Linked DNA regions of Diceros bicornis minor. The protein of the gene in region 2 interacts with the protein of the main gene of each other region in a pairwise test. Links are inferred from orthologs where the notes say so. Each region holds a gene or a part of one and is shown on either strand. Other genes may lie near its edges.

Region 1 (10,833 bases), on a different chromosome or scaffold from region 2:
GAGAGAAGTCTGTGACCTCTTCATTTCTTCTTGGAGGCCTAGACTTGAAACAGATCTGGAGACATAAAGAGCTTCCTGTGGCTTGAGGATCGGCCCTCTATGGGATTGTGGGAAATCTAGACCTGAGAGGGCCACACCTGGGCTGTAAAGGCTCCGAACTACAATTCCCAGAAGCCTCTGGGGGCAGAGACAGTGCCCAGATGGGGTGGTCTGAGGAGATGATGTAGGTTTGGGGGTGGTGTAAACCACGGCTCAGATTTACGATTCTCAGCTGACACTGTGGTACAGAGAATGGACTATGACTTGAGGCAGGCCCCTATGGGATTGTGGGAGATGTAGGCTCGAAGATGGGTGCAGCTCGCACCTGCAGAAACGTGAACACAATTCTGCATGACCTCTGGGCATGGGGGTCCTGCAGCATTTGTGGGAGACTTCATTCGCTACCTCAGTGGCCCAGTCTCTCCCACCAGGGTCTTGCTTGGAGGAGTACAGGGCAGGGGTTGGGAAATTCTTGAATTTTAACTTCTGAGCAAAAAGCAAAAAACAACTACGAGGGCTGGCCCCGTGGCTTAGCGGTTAAGTGCGCGCACTCCGATGCTGGCGGCCCGGGTTCGGATCCCCGGCGCGCACTGACGCACCGCTTCTCTGGCCACGCTGAGGCTGTGTCCCACATACAGCAACTAGAAGGATGTGCAACTATGACATACAACTATCTAGTGGGGCTTTGGGGGAAAAATAAATAAATAAAATTATTAAAAAAAAAAAAAAAAAAACAACTACAACTCCCCTTGGCCCCTTGAGTAACGGCGCCCTGAAGAAGGCAACTTAGTGTTTCTAGAATTGTGGTCAAACTACGCAAACAAATTCTGAGGCAGTAGCTGCCCTCGCCCAAGGAAAGACACTTAACAACCCTGAGCTGAGGTTGGACGTGGGTGAGAGGGAGGATGGGGCGGTGGTGGGAACTACAACTCCCAGCAGCGCCTGCGGGCTCCCGGAGACAGTTGCAAAAGAATGGGTCCCGTCCCGTCCCGCCCCCCGCCCCGACCCCCTAGTCGCCTGCTTGACTGTTAGAGACACCAGGAGGGATACTGCCTCTCCCAGAAGTCTGTGGGACTGGTCCAATTGCTGGTTGGATGTCCTTCTCTTCTGTTGCCTCTTTAATTTCGTCTCTGACTTGCTGATTTCTGTGGCTCTTTGCCAATATCACTCTGTCCTTCTCTCTTTATCTCTGAGCCTCCATCCTCCCCTCCCTGGGGCTCTGTCTCCCTCTCTCGGTCTCTGTCCCTTTCCCCATGTCTCTGTCCTCCTCTCTGTCTGGGTCACCATCCCCCTCTCTCTGGCTCCATGTTCTCACCCCACCCCGACCCTTGCCGGTCGCTGCCCTCCTCTTTCTCTATATCATTCCTTTCTCTCCCTGTCTCTGTTCATCTCTGTGCTCCCTGCTGTCTATCTTTGGCCCCTCACTTTTCGCTGCAGCCTCGCGTGACCCCAGAGGGTGAGTACATCCCGCTGGACCACCAGGATGTGGACGTGGGCTTTGATGGTGGCACCGATCGCATCTTCCTCGTGTCTCCCATCACCATCGTGCACGAGATCGACTCTGCCAGTCCTCTGTATGAACTAGGACGTGCCGAGCTAGCCCGGGCCGACTTTGAGCTGGTGGTCATTCTCGAGGGCATGGTTGAGGCCACGGCTATGACCACACAGTGTCGCTCTTCCTACCTTCCTGGTGAGCTGCTCTGGGGCCATCGTTTTGAGCCAGTCCTCTTCCAGCGTGGCTCCCAGTATGAGGTCGACTATCGCCACTTCCATCGCACTTACGAGGTCCCAGGGACACCGGTCTGCAGCGCCAAGGAGCTGGATGAACGGGCAGAGCAGGCTTCCCACAGCCCCAAGTCTAGCTTCCCTGGCTCTCTGGCTGCATTTTGTTATGAGAATGAACTTGCTCTGAGCTGCTGCCAGGAGGAAGAGGAGGAAGAGGAAACCAAGGAGGGGGATGGGGCAGAGGCAGAAGATGAGGCTGCCAGCCCCCGAGTACTCACACCAACCCTGGCGCTGACCCTGCCCCCGTGATGTGAGCTGGTGTCTCCCTATTTGTACTCCCTTCCCAGAGGTAGCAAGATGGAGAGATTTGGCCCTCTCCTGGGATGGGGGCAGGTATTTCCCAAGACCAACAGGCCTGCTGGATAAATTATTAGCTGGTGAAGCTCTGCCATGCCTAGTGGACCCACCACAGACATACTGGACCTTAATTCCTCTGCATTCCATGCTCCCTCTTGAGACCCCTTTGTCAGCCCGATTCCTGAGCCTCACCAGAGCTGAGGGATCCAGAATTCTGGACCACCCGAGAGGCAAGGACCGGTGGTTCCAGATTCCTCTATACGGCTGACTTGGGTTGTTGAGCAGGGTCAGGAATCAATGGTATAGACTGTCTCTGGGAGAGGAAGTTGGCAGTTCTTGAGCAGCAATAGAGATCAAGAGTTTGTAGCTCTGGATTGACCAAAGATTCAAGGGACTGTTGCTTCTAGACTCAGCCAACCAAGTAGCAAATCATTTTTTCTACACCACCTAAGGAGGGAAAGTTATGGAATGCCCCAAGAATTCAAGACTATCTTGATTGACCAATGACAAGGAATGTTGACTGCAAGTCAACAAAAGACCTTGTGGTTCCAGAAAGCCCCAAAGTTGAGATTCTGTGAATCTAGATTGACCACAGAGACAAGCAGTGGTAATTCTAGAACAGGTTTGACCTAGGGAGTTGAACTACTCCAGAAACTAGACTTATGTTTCTAGAATGCACAAAACAATAGTGAGTCTGTGGGTCTAGAAGGACTACAGTGACAGACTGGGAGTTCTTGATATTAGATAACTCCAGACCACTGGCTGTAGAACATCGAAGCGAGGGGATAATCAATGCTTCTAAATGATCCACAGGTTTTTTTTTTTTAAGTGCCATTCTAGAATGTCCAAAGGAATCAGGATTCTGTGGCTCTAGATTGATCATAGAGTCAAAGAAGGAGTGGTGATCCTAGATATGTCTGAGATTGGCTGGTTCCAGTTTGCCCAGTGGAGTTGAGAATCTTGATGATTCCACATGACTTCTTTGTGGTTCTGTAATGCCAAAGGAATCAAGGCTCCAGGGATCCAGAGTTGTCCATTATCAAAACCTGGAAGTTCTAATCAGCTCCTAGAACTTGGCAGTTCTAGGAGGTGGACTCAGGACTCGATAGGCAGCATTTCTGGGCTGACCTAGAAGGTGTGGGTAACAGGGCTACTTATTGGGCAAGGGAAGGGAGAGGCCCAAGGCTGGTGAGTCTGCAATCCTCTGGAATTCTACACCTAGCAATGTGTGTCTATTTCTTAAAGATGTTATACATACATGTATTATACATATATAATATAAATACAGATATCTATCTATTTTTTCCCGTGGTTCCTACAGAAGGGTTAGAAATTGAGCTTGAGCTAATTGGAATAAGATCCTTTACAAGGATCCAGGAAGCTTTGCTCTAAATCCCAACTCTGTTCTAACTTACTGTGTGACTTTGGGCACATCACTCCCCTCGCTTTGCCTCAGTTTCCCCATCTGTACAAATGGGGCATTGGAACTTGAAGGTCTCCAAGGGCCTTTCCACCAGGATGATTCCCCACTTCACTGAGGGTGAGGGTCCTGGGATTCTCCAGATCTCGCTGATGCTGGAAAGCTCGGCTTTCGAGGGGCAACTGGGATGGGAGATGATCTTGGAGGCCAGCTCTGAACCTGGGTGTCTGAATCACAGGCAGGCTAGGGGTAGTATGGGCTGTGGCTAAGGGCCAGAATCACGGCCTTCCTGGTCCAGCTTGGGGGTCAGGGGAAAGAGCAGGTAGCTCTGAATGCCAGGGGAAAGGTTGTGTTTAGGGATTAAATCACTGGGAGCCCTGGTGGTGTGTCTGTGAGTGTGTTTCTGGGGCACGGGTCCATGCTGCCATCCACCTAAGTGCCCAGCAGACTGGGAGCCAGCCGCAGAAGGAGCCAGTGCCAGGGGGAGGACATGTTCCCATCTCTGTGTCCCAAGACTGAGGGCAGGCACCGTCATTGCCCATTAGCCTAAGTGCTGCATCACGCCAGGTCCCTCCTTCTGGCTTCCATCTCCCTTTATCCTTCAGAATCCCCACGTAATCACCGGATGGGATTAATTAGCTGCTGCTCTCCCAGCTCAGGGTGTCCAGGGTAGGGACTGGGGGCAGTGGAACCACAGGGGTGGAGGAGGATGTTAAGTTGGGGATGAAGGGGCAGGAAAAGGGTTCTGTTTGGAAGGAGGGAGAGTGGGGGCACGGCGGGCACAGGCTGGGCTTCCACCGGGGAGGGCAGAGCCTGGGCCACTCATAAAGGTCAGTGAGGGGATTAGGAGGCTCCCTGTCTAATCTGTCAGCTTAACCAGGTCCCAGCCCCGAATCCGTCCCCACCTGCGAGCCCAGGGACGGCGACTGAGGACGAGGCCCAGACACCACCTCAGACCCAATTAGGGACCTGCCCGTGACAGGGGTGCCCAGGTTCTCCATCGCAGCCGAGCCCCTGCACCCGCTTTGCCTGCAAGGAATGGGAATGAGAGGCTGGAGAGGGGGAAGGGCCTCAGATGCGGGAGGCCTCCGAGAGGAGGGAGGAGTTTATGAAGAGCGAGAGTATGAGAGGTGGGGGAGTGAAGTGGGGCGAGTCGGAGAGGAGGGAAAAGACTCTGAGAAGGGGGAAGGAATCAGAGGTGGGAGGCTGCTGAGGAAAAGGGAGTTGTCCTTGGGGGATGCTAAGGTTAGGGGAGGAGTTTGGGGGAGAGGGAGGAGCCTGAGAGGCAGACGGCGCCAGGAAGTCGGAGCCTGTGCTTTCACTATATTTGGCCTTCTACCGTCCCATTCTCCATGACAGACGCCAAAGAGCATAGCATTTGGGAGAAAGAATAAGTCTTTTGTTTCACCACTCCTTGACTCCGAAGAGGCTAAGGTGGATGGGATCAGGGGACGGGGTAACAAAAGGGTCTGAATAACAGAGGGGCCAGTGCCAGGAGGAAGGAGGCCAAAAGAAAGGTGAGCCAAAGCTGCTCCCGGTTGCGTGGCAACCGCTGCGGTCAAAAGCCAGCTGGGCCTGCTAGGAGGTGTGGCTCACGGAAACAACCGGCTGTTGTGGTCCCGCCCCCTGGCAACAAGACTAACAAAGTACCGCCCCCCAGCAACGTATTGCTAGAGGTGGGGCTCGGTTCAATTAGTATCCTAGAGCTCGGAGCCCTTGCGCAGGCGCAGTCCTCTCTGCTGCCGCATATGTCTCTCCATGCCATTCTTTTCCAAGGCTTCTCATTGGCGGGCAAGCCAGCCAAGTGCCTTCTTTTGTTTCGGAGGCGGGGCCTGGCGTTCTGCCCGCGCTCCGATTGGCCCCACAGACCGTCTACCTCCGGCCGGACTTTGCTACGTCTGCTCCTTGCGCGCCTATTGGCCCTGGAGGACGATCCTTCAGCGTCGGGGGCGGAGCAGACGAGAGGGCCCGCCGTGGATTGGACGGTGTCAAAACGAGGGGCGGTCCCGACTGGCGGGGCGGTCGGGAGGCGAAGGGAGAGTCTTTTCAGCGCTGAGGACTGGCGCTGAGGAGGCGGCGGTGGCTCCCGGGGCGTTTGAGCGGGCTCACCCGAGCCCGCGGGCCAACGCGGATCCAGGCCCGACCGGCGGGACCGCCCCGGACTCCCCGCGGGCCTTCCTAGCCGCCATGGAGGACGGTGTCTATGGTAGGTCGCGGAGGGGCGGGGCCGGCTGGGAGCGGATGGAGCGTTCCGTCCCGAACGTTCCGCCGCGAACGTGCCTCCCGGCGCGCGCGGCGTGGCGTCTCTCGGCCCCGTCGTCGCGTCGCCTTTGTGGGGCGCGGGACGGGCTTCCGGCGGGGCCCGAGAGCGGGGCGTTCCAGGCCATTGTTTGGGCCGAGCCTGTTTCCGGTGGCGGCGGGAGGGGGCGGGATGGAGCGGCGGAGGCGAGGCCGGGGCGGACCCATTCCCGCTGGAGGGGCCGGGCGAGCCCGGGGCCTGCCGGGAGCGGGGAGGGGGGTTCGGGGGGCGGGGAGAAATCTTGGGGGCTGCAGAGATCCCGCTGAGGCGGGGGCCGTCGATGCCCCGCCCCCTTCCCCAATTCTTCCAAGCTGTCACCCGCTTTTCCTGCCGTAGTTACTTTTCCTGGTCCCGGGAGTCAGGACACCCCGGCCCCCAGCCACCTCGCCGGGAATGGAGGCAGAAAACCCGGGCCTCAGTCCCCTTCCAAGTAATGGACCAAGCAGTTCGGGCTTCCAGCCCTTTCTCTCCCCGGACCTAAGAGTTCAGGCTCCCAGTCCCCTTCTCCCTTAGACTGAGGAGTCCGGATCCCAAGCCCCCTCCTCTCCCAGCCCAGGACTCAAGAGGCTAGATCCCAGCCCTTCCTCCCCTGGACTGAGGAATCCAGGCCCCCAGCCCCCTTTTCCAGCAGACATAGGAGGCCCGACCCTCATCCTCATCTTCCCCCTGAATCTAGGAGTCCTGTCCCCCTCCCCCAGCTGTGGCCTCCCCACATTGCAGGATGCCAGGCTCCCAGTCCCGCAAAACTGACCTCCAACCCCTGATCCCGCCCCCCAGAGCCCCCAGACCTGACTCCGGAGGAGCGGATGGAGCTGGAGAACATCCGGCGGCGGAAGCAGGAGCTGCTGGTGGAGATCCAGCGCCTGCGGGAGGAGCTCAGCGAAGCCATGAGCGAAGTGGAGGGTCTGGAGGCCAATGAGGGCAGGTGAGGGCTGGGGCAGGGAACTTGGGGGTCATGGGACCTGGCTGGGGCTGGGGATGCCCAGGCATTGACCTTCCGTCCCCCGGCTCTCTGCCCCTGCAGTAAGACCTTGCAACGGAACCGGAAGATGGCAATGGGCAGAAAAAAGTTCAACATGGACCCCAAAAAGGTGCTTGGGGCACAGGGCTGGGGTGAGCCATGCAGACATCCAGACAGGAGGTTCTGGCATCTTCAGGTTCCAGAAGTGTGATAGTTAAAGATTTACATTAGGTAGACAGACTTGGTTCTAATCCCTGGGTTCAGATAGTGGCTGTCTGTTTGTTCTCAGGACACTAACCTTTGCCTGTGCTGTGTCCTCTGCCTGGGGGAGTCCTCTTCCCCTTTGTATTCATATTCCTGGACCCACTTCTGGTGTCACTTAGAGCCCCAGGAGGAGCTTGAGTCTGGTAGGGAACATAGACAGTGACACGCCCTAAAGGTTGACAAGTGCCAGGACAGAGGGAGGTCCTGGGGGCTGTGGACACTCAGAGGAGGGAGCCTGGTGGAGTCAGGGAGGGCTTCCCCGAGGAGGGGACATTCAGGTCAGGTTTGAAGGATGAGTCAGTGTTCACCAGGTGGAGGAAAGATGTTTGTGCATTCAGTCATTCATTTACACCCATTTCCTAAGGCTTCCTCTGGGCCTGTCCCTCTGCTGGGGAATGCTGGGGACCCAGAGAAGAGTTTGACCCTACCTTGCCCTCAGGGAGCCCCTAGACACAGATACCACAATCCAGAGTGAGAGAGAGCTATGATGGAGGTCCTCATGGCATAGGGAGAGCCAGAGAAGACCCTGGTCCAGCCCGAGGCTTGGCCCTCACAGCCCTTGATGGACTGCTGTCTGCTGACAGTTTCTCACTTCATGCTTCTTGCCTGAAGCAATTGTATTTTGTTCAGTCATTCAGCAAACAAGAGTTCTTGTTCCTGCTCTCGGTGTTGGAATTAACCAGGCAAAGGCAGAGGGAACAGTAGGAGCAAAGGCTCTGAGGTGGGAGAAATAGTATGTAAGGACCTGTGAGAAGCCTGAAAATGAAGCCTGGCCCTGCTTTGTTGGGGATGGGGTTGGGTTGGGCTGCCAAGGTTTCCGAGGAGGTGGTGGGAAATGCCCCTCTAGCTCTCAGCACTGAGACCTGGCTCCCACCTACCAGGGGATCCAGTTCTTGGTGGAGAATGAACTTCTGCAGAACACACCCGAGGAGATCGCCCGCTTCCTGTACAAAGGCGAGGGCCTGAATAAGACGGCCATCGGGGACTACCTGGGGGAGAGGTGAGACACCCCCCCCCCCGCAGCTCTTCTGGGCCTCTCCCCATGGCCCCCTGCACCCAGCTCCTGCCCTCACACTGCCAGCTCCTCTCCCAAGGAGAGGCCCTGATAGACCAGCTTTCCGACTGGACTATGACAGGATGGAGTGACACAGGGGTCCAGGGGAGCCTGGCCCCATCTGTGAGCATCGTGGGGAGCTTTGTGGACATCTAGGAATTGTAGGGACCATCCATGTAGGTCTGGGGACAGTGGAGAACATCTGAGTGTCATGAGAGCATGAGAAGCATGTGTAGACAACTGGTGTGCATGGGAACTGTGTGGCCAGCTAGGAAGTGTGGGGACCTTCAGTGGATATCCAGGGAGCACGGGGACCCGGAGGACATCTGGGAGCATGAGGACCATCTGTGGACGTCTGGGGTGTGGGTACCATCTAGAAGTCTATGAGACTGGACATGAGGAGTGTATGGGGACCATCTGTGGATGTCTGGGACACGTGGGGCTTTATGGACATCAGGAGTGCATGGATATCGGGAATGTGGGGACTGTCTGGACACCTAAGATGCACGGGGACCTTCTGTGACATCTGGGAAACCTGAGGATAATCTGTGAGCATCTGGGGTGCGTGGAGACCGACTGGACATCTGAGGTGCACAGGACCATCTGTGGATGTCTGGAGTGCTTAGGGATTGGGTGGACATCTAGGGTGTGTGGAACTTTCTGGACATCTGAGGTGCATGGGGACCATCAATGGACATCTGGGGGGCATGGAGACTGGGGATGTGGGGACTGTAGATGTCTAGGAACCATCTGTGGGCATCTGGGGTATGTGGGGGCCATCTGTAGATGTCTGGGGATCATCTGTGACGTCTGGGGTGTGTGGAGACCGTCTATGGCCATCTGGCATTGTGGGGATTGTTTTGTGGGCATCTAGGGGGGTGAGGGCCATCTGCAGACATCTGTGGAACCTGGGGGTCACCTGAGACGGGTGACAGTAGGCGGAGCACACGTTTGCTGCGTGTCTCCCAGCTGTACAAAGGTCCAGCCAAACCATGGTTCTCGAGGCAGATGGTCCTCTCAAGAGCGTGTTCTCAGTATCCCTGCCCGTGTGCCAGGCCTGTGATGGGGTCCACGTCCAAACTTCAGCTGCTACAGAGGCAGCTGCCGTGCAGAAGAGGTGGCTCAGCCTCCCCCGTGCTTTGCCTCCTGTCCACTCTCACTCCACCCTCCCCAGACTTTTCCTGAGCATGACTTTGTCCCTGTCCTCCCAGGGAAGAGCTGAACCTGGCAGTGCTCCACGCCTTTGTGGATCTGCATGAATTCACTGACCTCAATCTGGTGCAGGCCCTCAGGTGAGAGGGACAGGGTTGGAAGGGCAGGACTGTACCCGTCAGGGCTTTCTTTACAAGTGATGACACCTACTCAAGACAAAAACAGAAAGAAAAATTAGGGAATTGATTGCCTCGTGCAATGCAAAATTCCATGGTAGGGCCTTCTTCAGGCATAGATGTATCCAGGTGCTCAAATGGTGTCAGAAGGTCAACTTTGTCTCTTGGTTGTGCTCGCCACTGTGTTGGCATTGCTCTCTGCAGACTCTCCTGCCACGTGATAACAGAAGCCCCTAGCAACCATCAGATCTGTTTAGCAACCTTAGTAGAAGGAAAGGCTTTTTCTGTATAAGTACACCAAAAGTCCCATGGCCAATGCTCATTGGTCAGGTTGGATCATGTGTCCATACTTGAAACAGCTGCCGAGGCCACAAGGTCTGGAGCTCTCATTGCCACTCCCTGACACAGGGACTGAGAGTGGGAGGGGCTTCCGCCAGTCCTGGTATCCACACTCGGCCCCTCTCTAACCCAGACAATTTCTATGGAGCTTCCGCCTCCCCGGAGAGGCCCAGAAGATTGACCGGATGATGGAAGCCTTCGCCCAGCGATACTGTCTGTGCAACCCCGGGGTCTTCCAGTCCACAGGTGGGGGACTCGGAAGGAGGGGCCCGGGACCCGGACTCGGGGGGCCTGGGAAGGAGGGCCGGGGGCCCGCATACCTGTGTCATCACCACCTGCCTGTCTGGCGCAGACACGTGCTACGTGCTGTCCTTCGCCGTGATCATGCTGAACACCAGCCTCCACAATCCCAACGTCCGGGACAAGCCGGGCCTGGAGCGCTTTGTGGCCATGAACCGGGGCATCAACGAGGGCGGGGACCTGCCTGAGGAGCTGCTCAGGGTCAGGCCCCTCTCCCCTCCCCACAGCCCCTCCCCCCATGGGTCCCCCTGTGCCTGAGCCATCTGCCTGGGAGTACCACCCCTCCCACGGATGCCGCTACCATGCCAGCCTGTCCGTTTCTCTTCTCTCTCTCTCTGGCTGCCTCTGTGTTTGTCTCTCTCTTTCTCTTTCCGGTCACTCTGTTACAGGGTCTGGGTCCGTCTCATTCTCCATCTGTCTGTCTGTTTCTCTGAGAATGTAGCAGGCTCCTCCAGCTGTGTCTGTCCTCTCTGCCTCTTTTCTTTCTTTCCTCCTTTCTCCCCTCCCTGGGGCTCCCTCCACTGTTCTGCCGTCCGCTTCCCTTTCCTCCCTAGCCTCCTCCTTCCCTCTCCCTGCCTCTGTGGGCCGTCCCACCCTCCCACCCGTGGTCTCATTGCCTCCCTGGCTGCTGGAGTCCCATCCCCCCACCCCCAAGGCCAGGTAGCCTTGGGAGGGTCCCTGGGGCCTGGAGTTGCTGACTGCGCCTTTGCCTCTCAGAACCTCTACGACAGCATCCGAAATGAGCCC
Region 2 (10,702 bases):
TTCTTCTCCTCTGCTCTGGCCAAACCCACCTCCTTGCTGTTCTTTCAGTGTACCAGTCAGACTCTGGTGGCCTCAGGACTTTTGCATTTGCTGTTTCCACTGCCGGTCACACTTTCCTCAGTTGTCTGCTGGCTCACTTCACTTCCTTCAGATCATTACTCAGAGGTCACCTTCTCTGTGAGTCCTTCCCTGGCCACCTCACTTGATTTTTAGCCTAATTTTATGCCTAGATTCTCTATGTTTCTTATTCCACTTTATTTTTTTTCTTCCTTAGCCCTTATTACTACCTAACACATTAGATGTGACTTATCTCGTTTAGAGGGCACACCATCCTGATTGGAGCGAGAGAACAGAAGGCTCCTGAGGGCACGATGTTCCTTATTGTCCATTCCCTGTTGTGTCCCCAGCGCCAAGAACAGTGCTCCGAAATATTTGCTGAATCAATGAATTAGAACTCTAGCATGAAATTAAGGTCCTGCAGAACTTGAGAGGTTTTGCTCATTTGTCTTCTAACCTTCAACGCTACTTTCAGAGAAATCTGGACACTTTCAGTTCCTTGTCCCGTGGAAGTGACTTGTTTTCTCTATTTGGGAGATTTTAGGATTTTCTTTTTGTCTCTGGTGTTTGGGAATTTTATAGTAACTCAAAATTCTTCACTCTGGGCACTCAGTGGGAACTTTTAATCCAAATACTCATGGACTTTGCTTAAGGGAAATCTTTTATGTTATTTCTTTGATGAGGTCATTGAATATTTCCTGAAAGATTTACTTGAATTTATCATCCAAGCCTTCCATTAAAATCTTTCTTTGGCAAACATATTTATAATATCCAAGAGTTCTTTCTTGTTCTCAGAATATATATTTTTCTTAGCATCCTGTTCTTCTTTATGGATACAGTATCTTCAAGAATACCTGTAAGGATACTGATTGCAAGGCCATTTTTTCCCATTTCCTACAACATTTCGTAGTTGCCAAACAGGGAGATGATGTTATGACCCAGTACATACTGAGTGACGCTCTTACACCAGAATGTGGAGTTTTCACTCTGGAGTGCCCATATATGCATACGTTGACTGTATTCTCTGCACAATTTCAATATTTTTAGAGAAGAATCCTCCATAATATTGCTTGAGGTGGGGCTGAAATGGCTGCTTGCCATCGTTTGTGTTTGCTGTGTAAAGGCTGGAAGGATAGAGATATTTGAAAGAGGGGTAAGGGAGAGGGGCTAAGTTCTTTTTTTTTTTTTTTTTTTTAATGAGGAAGATCAGCCCTGAGCTAACATCGGATGCCAATCTTCCTCTTTTTGCCAAGAAAGATTGGCCCTGGGCTAACATCTGTGCCCATCTTCCTCCACTTTATATGGACGCCACCACAGCATGGCTTGACAAGCGGTGCGTCAGTGCGCGCCGGGATCTGGGCCTGTGAACCCAGGGCAGCTGAAGCGGAGTGCGCACTTAACCGCTGTGCCACCAGAGCCCCTCTCTGGGCCGGCCCCCAGAGAGGGGCCAGGTTCTTACAGACTTTCAATTAATCTTCCTATTTTCAGCTCCCTCACTGATTTAGATTTTCTAAGTTCTCCTGGCTTTTTGAGTCCTGATCCTCCCAGGAATTGTGCATCACAAATGGTCAGTTTCTCTACCGTAGTGTCCTTCTTGCTGATGGTAAGCTGTGGTTCCCCTGTCCTCCTTCATCCCGTCCTCTGTCATCCCATCTTCCAGAAATCTATTGAGGTCTCTCAAGCTCTAATCCTCTTCCTATTTTTTTTTTTGTTATTGTTGGTTTATATATTTTCTATAATTTTCCTATCATTTTAATGGAGGCTTGGGAGGGAGATAAAGGAGCAAAAAGAATCTGTGACCAGTCTATCTTGAACTGGAAGTCCAGCCACCTTGAGAATTATTCCACTTTGATAAATCAGGTGATCTCTTCTCATAGAATTTAGGTGGCCCTAATTCTGGCCCCATAACTGTAAATGACATGCCCTCTGGCGATGTCTTTGATAAGCCTGATGAGAAACATGTCTCTGCTATTGATGTCACTAAACACTTTTAATATCATCTAGTACTTTTGGATACTACCTAATGCAGAGAACTAGAGAACAGCTCGGTGTAGGGATAAGATGAGGCAGCACTTTCGAGAAACAGAAGTTCACGCAAACAAGAAGCCACTGAGAGAACTTTCATGGTATTCCCGGTCAAAATGTACAGCATCTTCTTTTAATCCTTTCACTCCTCCACAGATTTAATTTAATTTTTATCTTCTCATGAAATGAGTATAAAGAAAATGAGAGGAAGTCTGAGATCAGAGACTGAAGTAGTTTTCAAACTATTATTATCTATTCCCTAAAGGCAAAGTTTTTACCAAATAGTAACTGTGTTGTATATTCTCTCTTTCTCTGCTCCCCCAACAGCATTGTTTATTTTTAATACAGTTTTTATTGACATTTGGATTGGGCGGTATGGGGAATGTTGGGATGGATGCTACGTTTAATCTGTAAATTAAAAAAACTTCTGAAAAAGCAGAGACACAAAACATGCCATCCAGAGGATTTCCACTTTGCTTTTGAAAATGTTGCCTTTAATCTATTGCCAGTCAAGTCACACTGGTTTCTGTCAGCTGTTATCAGCATATCTTCAAATTAGGAAGGTCTCAAGTCAATTGAATTATTTACTTCTCTACCCGGAATGGCCCTTTTCTCCTTATCCCTAGTTGTTGCAGCTCAGGAAACAGATCTTCTATTTGTTCTGCTTTAAGCAGTTATGCTTACAAAGGAAAATGGAAAGAGAGATCTGCTTTTGTACTGTGTGGGGTTGCTGGGGGCTCCAGGCAATAAAGCCCTGCATGGTCATTCTTAGGAAGGAGCAGGTTCATTGAGCATCAAGAGAAGAAAGGCCGGGTGTCAGAAGTTCTGATCCTAAAGACATGAATGATTAAGGTGACTATATAAAACCTCTTCCAGGTCTGGACTTGCCTTGAGGCTTTCTCATGCTTGTGGATAGGTGAAAAATTATTCTTTTTATTGAAATGGCTTCAGCCACCTTCCAGATTCTAGGCTTGTTTTATAGTGTAGTTTAGGTTTTTACTTGTATGTTAATTTGTCTGTTTCTTGGAGATGGAATGACGAGGGTCATTAGGTTTTCAGGTCTGGACAGTGTGATCTTGGTAATGACTAGAGTGGGCTGCAAGTGCATACAAATGCGTGGATGAAAGTCTCAGATTTTCTTTTAGTGGTTTGACTATATTTATGATTTTATCCTTAGATGAATCTTCCCTTTTGTTAATATTTGGCTGGACAGGGGCAACTTGAGTTTGGATAAAAATGCATATGCTGCATCTAAACATGTAAGCCAGCCCCCTATTGTCCCCACCTCCTAGAATGCACATTTTGTGACATTCCCTCCTCTTGAGTGTAGGCTGGACCAAGTAACTCACTTCTAACAAAGAGAATATGGCAAAAGTGATGCGACATCATTTCTGAGAATAGGTTACAAAAGATTGTGACTTCTGTCTTGCTCATACTCTCTTTCTGTCAGGAGCTCAACTGAGCCGGGCAAGGAAAAGCTGAGCTGTCAGGTGTTGGAGTAGCTGATTAAAGCAAGAAGCCAAAAATGAAAGAGTTAAGCCTTTGGTCGCTTACTGTGAGGCCATGAGCAAGAGTCCACAGCTGGAGGAAGCGCCGGCTGCCCCTGTTCCATTTTCCCCGTGGAATGGTGCACTTGTGGAGGGGCACGTGGACCAGCACAGATGTGGGGATCATCTCACTGTTGAGGGAACGTCCAACAAAAGGCTCTGGCAGTTTTATGGACCCTGAGTTGTGTGTATGTGTGTGAGAGGGGGGCTAGGAATAAAACAGTACTGACCGAGTAGTGGGGAAAAGTGTCTTCAAGGTTTCTCCCTTGTCCCTTCATAAGGACGCCTCAGCAGAGGCACCTGAAGGGGACCTTGGCCCACGGTCTCAGATAAAGAGACCTAGTAATGAAGGCACTGGGGCTGGGAATGTAAATATGCAGAAGAGCATGGCTGACCAGGGCAGGGGCCCCTGAGACCTTGACTGCAACTCCCCTCAGAGGCTGTAGTGCAGTGGCTGTCACCAAGGCTGGTGTGGGGAAGGCGACTTTCCCCAGGGAAAGGCTTTGCCAGAGGAAAGCCTTTGTAATTACTGATGGGCAGGCCTGAAAGTTCACACAGAAGGTTTACCCAGGAGTGGACTCCTCAGTCTCATTCTCTTTGACTCTTGCTTTTTTGCCCTGATAAAGCCGGCTACCACATTGTGAGCTGCCCTAAGGAGAGACCCATGTGGTAAGGAACAGAGGGTGACTTCAGGTCAACAGCTAGCATTGAACTGAGATGCTCAGTCCCATAGTCCTTGAGAAACTGAAACCTACCAACAACTGCATGAGTGAGCTTGGAAGAGTTTCCTTTTCCAACAGAGGCTTGAGATGGCTGTAGTCCCGGCTGACCTGTTGACTGTAACACTGTGCGAGATCCTTAGCCACAGAACGCAGCTAAGCTGGGCCTAGATTCCTGACACACAGAAACTATGAGTTAATAGGTGTTTGTTGTTTTAAGCCTCTAAGTGTTGGAGGTAGTCTGCCATGTAGCCATAAATAACTAACACACATGCTAATGATCTAGTGACCACATTTTGGAAAACTGCATGGGTTGTGAGCCCATTTCTAATGATTTGTTTTGTTTTCTTTGAAAGTAGGATATAAGAATGGTGCAATTGTGTTGTTTTCCCAAGAAGGTATAAAGAAGCAAGATGCTGGTGTTGAAAAGGAGACATGGGAGGGCAGGAATTTATAGGTGATGAGTTCAAATATGTCTAACTTTCAGCCTGTCATTTTCCTTTTCTAGTGTGTGAAAGAAGTTTTGAAGCTGGAGAATCTATTATGTGTGCTGCAAAAGAATGGCAGGCTCAGACTTATTTTTATCCTAAAATACTTTTTACAAATTTATCTGCACCCTCTACTTAGTATAGTATTAGGAACTATCAGGAGAGGAGAAAAAAAGGGAAATTTGAAAGAAGATTGAACTTAAAAGATGTTGATGATAAAACAGTGGCGTCTCAACTAAACACACTGAGAACAGCTCTGTACATGATGTCACCCTCCAAGCCTGTAAATAAACATGTTTGCCTCCAAAACAGGAAAGCAAAACCATGTAGTGTTTCGTACACGTGTCCTGGAAATGAATACACTAGGTAGTGTTTAATGATCAGTGAGGTCGGACAGATGGAACGTGCCTGCTTTAGATGCATTGTGTCCTGGACTTTGGGATCAAGGAAGCGTTCAATAACAATAAGAAGGAAGAACAATAAAATTGGGGAAGTAGAGATGACACTTCCCCTTCTTTCGAAAGAGCCTTACTCTTTGCTCAGCTTCTAATGGTAGTCTTGCGTAGACTGAGCCTCCAGAGCTCTGACTGCTTAGAGTGGAATCCTCAACCTTTGCCTCAGAGTATTATGAGTTTTCTGAATTCAGGGATAAAGAGCCAGCTCTTGGATTTACTCTCTTTTCATTGCATGTAAGTAAAATCACTCCTTGGCTACCGTATGAGAAGTCATTGCTTGGCATATCAAGATGGGAAAGCAATTGATGCTCTAACCCTATCTTTAGAATAGTGAGTTCCAAGATGTGACTCTTGGGACATAATATTTCCTCAGCTCTTCGTAAACCTGCTGCTATGGTCCAGTGATAATGGCACTTTTTAATTCTGTTAGAGCTTTGAAGGAGAGAGTTGTGTTGTTCTCACTCTGCTTTTCTCAGTTTCTTAAATTGATGTTGTATTGATAGCTGCTTGGACTGCAGACCATGGGTTTGACTTAGAAAAGCACAATTCAGCCTTTGTTTGGGTCCTGAGAAGTTCACTTCGGGAAACACTCTGTGGCCATCCTCTTGTGAGAAAGTGTGTTCTTTGTGGAGCATCCCCTTTCGTATGTGAGCGGCTGGAGGGGATTTTACTCTTAGCTAAAAGTCACAGGCTGGACAAAATATCTCTCTATGAAAATGAGGATTTCGGTGATGTTGGTTCAGAGGTTTTTACCAAGGTCATCTGGGGCACTGGGTTTTCTTTGCTTGTGTATATTGTGAAAGAAATTTAATTGTAGGAGTCAGAGTTATAACTCACCAAGGCATCTTTGACTATATCAGTGGACTTTTTTAGTCTGTAGGGGGCTGTGTGTTTCTAGTACTGTCCTGGGCATTGTATAGTCATACACAGAGTCTGATTCCTCTACAGCTATTTGTTTTACACGGAAAATAGAAAGAACACGAGTTTCTTTCTGCTCACATCATGCAAATAAAGAGGAAAAGGACTTCAGTTTGTGTATTTGTTGATGTATTCACTCTTTAATTTATTTTTTAATTTCCTTTCTTTCCTCTCTTTCTTTATATCAAGGGTCTTTTCTGGAGAGGGTCCATGTATGAACTCTTGCAGGCAAGCTGTGTTAGGCAAATACACATCATCTGAGTACGGAAATAGGAAGTTCTTTCCTGCGGTAGTTCGCTGTGGCAATAAGAGATAAGAAATTACTTCATGACGATTGCCTGAGACTTTCCTTTTGACTCGCCTCTCCTTCTTGAACAGCTCACTTCTGCTTTCCATCCAGCTTGGAGGCTAGGCAGTGTGAGCTTGTAACCAAAGCACAGCTCGACCATTTGCAAGCAAGTTGAAGGTGGCAAATGATGTGTGTGAGCAAAAGAAATCGTAAAAACTAAGCTTTACGGTGTGGAAGGACATTCTGCAAATGAGGGAATTACTGTACTCCCAGCACTCAGAACAGTGCCTGCCCCATAGTACGCGCTGAGCAAATGTGTGTTGAATAATGAATGATCAGGATTGTTTATAAACTGAGTGTGGTAGTGTTGTCTTTGCTTTCTCTGTTACCCAGGTACTTAAGGAAATGCAGATTGGAGGAGGTCAGAGTCAAGCAGGAGAGGAGGAGAATATGAAGATGTGAAGAGAAGAAAGGGTGTGTAGAAAAGAGATGATAAGAAGCCCTAGGAGTGGCCATATGGTGCGACGATGGAGGAGGAGGAGGTTGTGAAGGTGCTAGAGGTGGATGTGGTGGTGTTCAGTTGGAGCTGGCAGTGAAGGTGATGGTGGAGGTGATGATGGTGGTGGTGGAGGAGGTGATGGTGAAGGTGGTCTTGGAAGTGGTAGTGATGGTGATGGTGGGGATGGTCTTGGAGGTGGTAGTGATGGTGATGGTGGGGATGGTACTGGAAGTGGTAGTGATGGTGATGGTGGTGATGGTATTGGAGGTGGTGGTGGAGGTGATGATGGTGGTGGTGGAGGAGGTGATGGTGAAGGTGGTCTTGGAGGTGGTAGTGATGGTGATGGTGGGGATGGTATTGGAGGTGGTGGTGGAGGTGATGATGGTGGTGGTGGAAGAGGTGATGGTGAAGGTGGTCTTGGAAGTGGTTATGGTGGAGGTGGTGGGGATGGTACTGGAAGTGGTAGTGATGGTGATGGTGGTGATGGTATTGGAGGTGGTGGTGGAGGTGATGATGGTGGTGGAGGAGGTGGTGGTGAAGGTGGTCTTGGAGGTGGTAGTGATGGTGATGATGGGGATGGTATTGGAGGTGGTGGTGGAGGTGATGATGGTGGTGGTGGAGAGGTGATGCTGAAGGTGGTCTTGGAGGTGGTAGTGATGGTGATGGTGGGGATGGTATTGGAGGTGGTGGTGGAGGTGATGATGGTGGTGGTGGAGGAGGTGATGGTGAAGGTGGTCTTGGAGGTGGTAGTGATGGTGATGGTGGGGATGGTATTGGAGGTGGTGGTGGAGGTGATGATGGTGGTGGTGGAGGAGGTGATGGTGAAGGTGGTCTTGGAGGTGGTAGTGATGGTGATGGTGGGGATGGTATTGGAGGTGGTGGTGGAGGTGATGATGGTGGTGGTGGAGGAGGTGATGGTGAAGGTGGTCTTGGAAGTGGTTATCGTGGAGGTGGTGGCAGAGGGAATGCTAGACCAGCTGGTGGAAGTGACAGTGGTGGCGGTGCTGGCTAAGGTGGTCTTGGAAGTAGTAGTGATGGTGATGGTGGTGATGGTATTGGAGGTGGTGGTGGAGGTGATGGTGGTGGTGGTGGAGGAGGTGATGGTGAAGGTGGTCTTGGAGGTGGTAGTGATGGTGATGATGGGGATGGTATTGGAGGTGGTGGTGGAGGTGATGATGGTGGTGGTGGAGGAGGTGATGGTGAAGGTGGTCTTGGAGGTGGTAGTGATGGTGATGGTGGGGGTGGTGTTGGAGGTGGTGGTGGAGGTAGTGGTGGGGATGGTATTGGAGGTGGTGATGGAGGTGATGGTGGTGGTGGTGGAGGAGGTGATGGTGCAGGTGGTCTTGGAGGTGGTAGTGATGGTGATGGTGGGGGTGGTGTTGGAGGTGGTGGTGGAGGTGGTGGCAGAGAAGATGGTAGAGGAGGTGGTGCTAGTGGTGGTGATAGAGGTAGTGGTGGTGGAGGTGATGATGGGAAAGGCAATGTGATATAGCAAGGAGGAAACATAGTTTTAGGGTCAGACACATCTATTAAAAATCTGTATCTACCACTTACCAGCTCTATGATCTCTGAACCTGTGGAGTGGTGCTCGTAACAGACTGAACATTTTGGGTTGTTGTGTGAGGATTAGAAATGTGATTGCACAGTGCCTGCCACATCATGGATCTTCACCAAATGGCTGTTATCAATATATTTTCTTCAGCTTTCAAATCACCACGGTCACACTTATAAATTTAACCACCAATTTAGCTTTTTTCTTTGTACTTTTTTGTATTTTCTAAATTTCATAAAATGATCAGGATTCTTTTTAAGAATAGTTTATTAAAAATAAATGTTATAAGCTTCGTTATCAGGATGGTTAAACACATGGTGGTATATCTATATAAAGAAATATCATCAATAAAATGATATTTATGGAAATATTGTCATGATTTAATGCTTAGTCAAAAAAGAAGAAACACAACTTTTTCAACTATGTAAAAATGTTGCAGAGAAGCAAGATTGAGGTAAATTATGAATAGTGGGTTTACAGCTGATGGTTATATTTGTCTTTGCACTTTTCATTTTTCTCCCCAATTTTTCACTAGTGGAGCATATCTGGACTAATTTAGTAATCTGAAAACAAAATAAATGTTGAATGAAAATAAATGAACAGAAACTTAACCTTCTTTTAATTTCCCACCAAAATAAAGCAAAAGTATTTTTTTTTTTTTTTGCTGAGGATGATTTGCCCTGAGCTAATACCCATGCCAATCCTCCTCTATGATTTTGTATGGGGGACACCTTCACAGCATGGCTAATGAGTGGAGTAGGTCTGCACCCGGGATCCAGGCCCATGAACCTGGGCCGGCAAAGTGGAGCGAGGGGAACTTTAACCACTTGGCCATGGGCCGGGCCCAGCAAAAGTATTTTTTTAGTTGTAGTGTTCTAAGCTTTGTGGTTCATTGCAATCTAAGAAATGATGCAGTTTATGTTATTTCACCTTTGTAGGGGTATCCCCTTTGAGATTAGGACTGGTACAGAATCACGTAACAGCTCTAAAGTGAGAACGAGCAAACGAGGTCCCATCTGGGACTGACTGGTCTAATTAGTTCCTAGTATCACATGAAAATGGGTTATTTTCTGTGGATGATTTATAATGGTCTCTAAACCTGAATTGAATGATTATCTAGCAATTCAATAGTTAATAACTTTAAATTAAATTTAGATTTCCCAGCATAAGAGTAATTAATTTTTTTAGGGAATGTTACCATATCTTTATCATCTTGGTATACGTGGAGAGGTCAAAAAAACATTTTTGTGAAGTCAAGAAATAATTTCTGTTGTTAGGATCTTGCTCCTTCCGTCTCACAATGCCAGCTTATTAGTTTGGAGGAGTCCCTTATCAGAGACTTAACTGAGATCAAATATTTTGGCTTGTAGGTATTGGAATGAATCGCCTGTCTTTGTCTTAGAAATGATCAGGTGAGAGAGAGTTGGCAGACTAAGAGGCAAAAAGACGAACAAATGTGAGCAAAGACAGGCCTCCCAATCTGACACAGGTGTCGAAATAGTAGTTGAAAGGTGAAAAGTTAGGCAGTTTAAACTTACCTTAAAATTACTAGAATGTGGATGAACGCTTTCAAAAAAATCTGAATAAAAAATGACCAGATGATGTACACCTGAAATTTATACAATGTTATAAACCAATGTTACTGCAATAAATAAGAAATTAAAGAAAAAAAAGACCAGATAGTCAGTGAAAATTAGTCAAGGTTAGAAATGAAAGAATTAATGAAACAGACAACAAACCCTATTCCCCAGGGTGAAAACCAAATAACTCAGCATGCAACATGAATTGAACTAGAAACAGCAGCCCAGTAGACTTTTGAATAGATGGTCCATTGCGTTTTCTGAACATTGCACGGTGGAACACTGAATAAAAACGAATATTACCAAACACTTGCTATGTCCCAAGCATGTAATCAGCACTTGCATTTTTTACATGACCAATTTCAGTCATTTCTCAAAAATAATCCTGGGAAACAGCACTGTCGTTATCTCTATGGAGCTGAAGCTTCGAGAGGTAAAGTACCTTGTCTAAAACCACTTTGCTAGGCAGGGGCAGGGACTGGATTCAAACCCAGATCTTTGTGTGTCTCTGAGCCTGTGCCCTAACTACTATACTATACGACACTATGTTGTTTCCACTTACATTAAAGATTT

The links.
Region 1: the proteins of IPCEF1 (region 2) and CYTH2 interact in binary tests that used the Homo sapiens proteins (3 or more experiments, as listed by UniProt). The link is inferred for Diceros bicornis minor from reciprocal best matches to the Homo sapiens genes IPCEF1 and CYTH2.

The regions. Positions count from the first base shown.
Region 1 is NC_080773.1:24,134,997-24,145,829, forward strand, and holds the start of CYTH2 (cytohesin-2), read left to right. Parts: upstream 1-5,577; 5' UTR 5,578-5,728; coding exon 5,729-5,747; intron 5,748-6,617; coding exon 6,618-6,765; intron 6,766-6,864; coding exon 6,865-6,931; intron 6,932-7,946; coding exon 7,947-8,065; intron 8,066-9,330; coding exon 9,331-9,411; intron 9,412-9,919; coding exon 9,920-10,032; intron 10,033-10,138; coding exon 10,139-10,287; intron 10,288-10,803; coding exon 10,804-10,833. Other genes in the region: KCNJ14 (ATP-sensitive inward rectifier potassium channel 14), read left to right, coding at 1,477-2,073. UniProt on the Homo sapiens protein: Acts as a guanine-nucleotide exchange factor (GEF). Promotes guanine-nucleotide exchange on ARF1, ARF3 and ARF6. Activates ARF factors through replacement of GDP with GTP.
Region 2 is NC_080778.1:14,779,048-14,789,749, forward strand, and holds the start of IPCEF1 (interactor protein for cytohesin exchange factors 1), read left to right. Parts: upstream 1-5,399; 5' UTR 5,400-5,525; intron 5,526-10,702. UniProt on the Homo sapiens protein: Enhances the promotion of guanine-nucleotide exchange by PSCD2 on ARF6 in a concentration-dependent manner.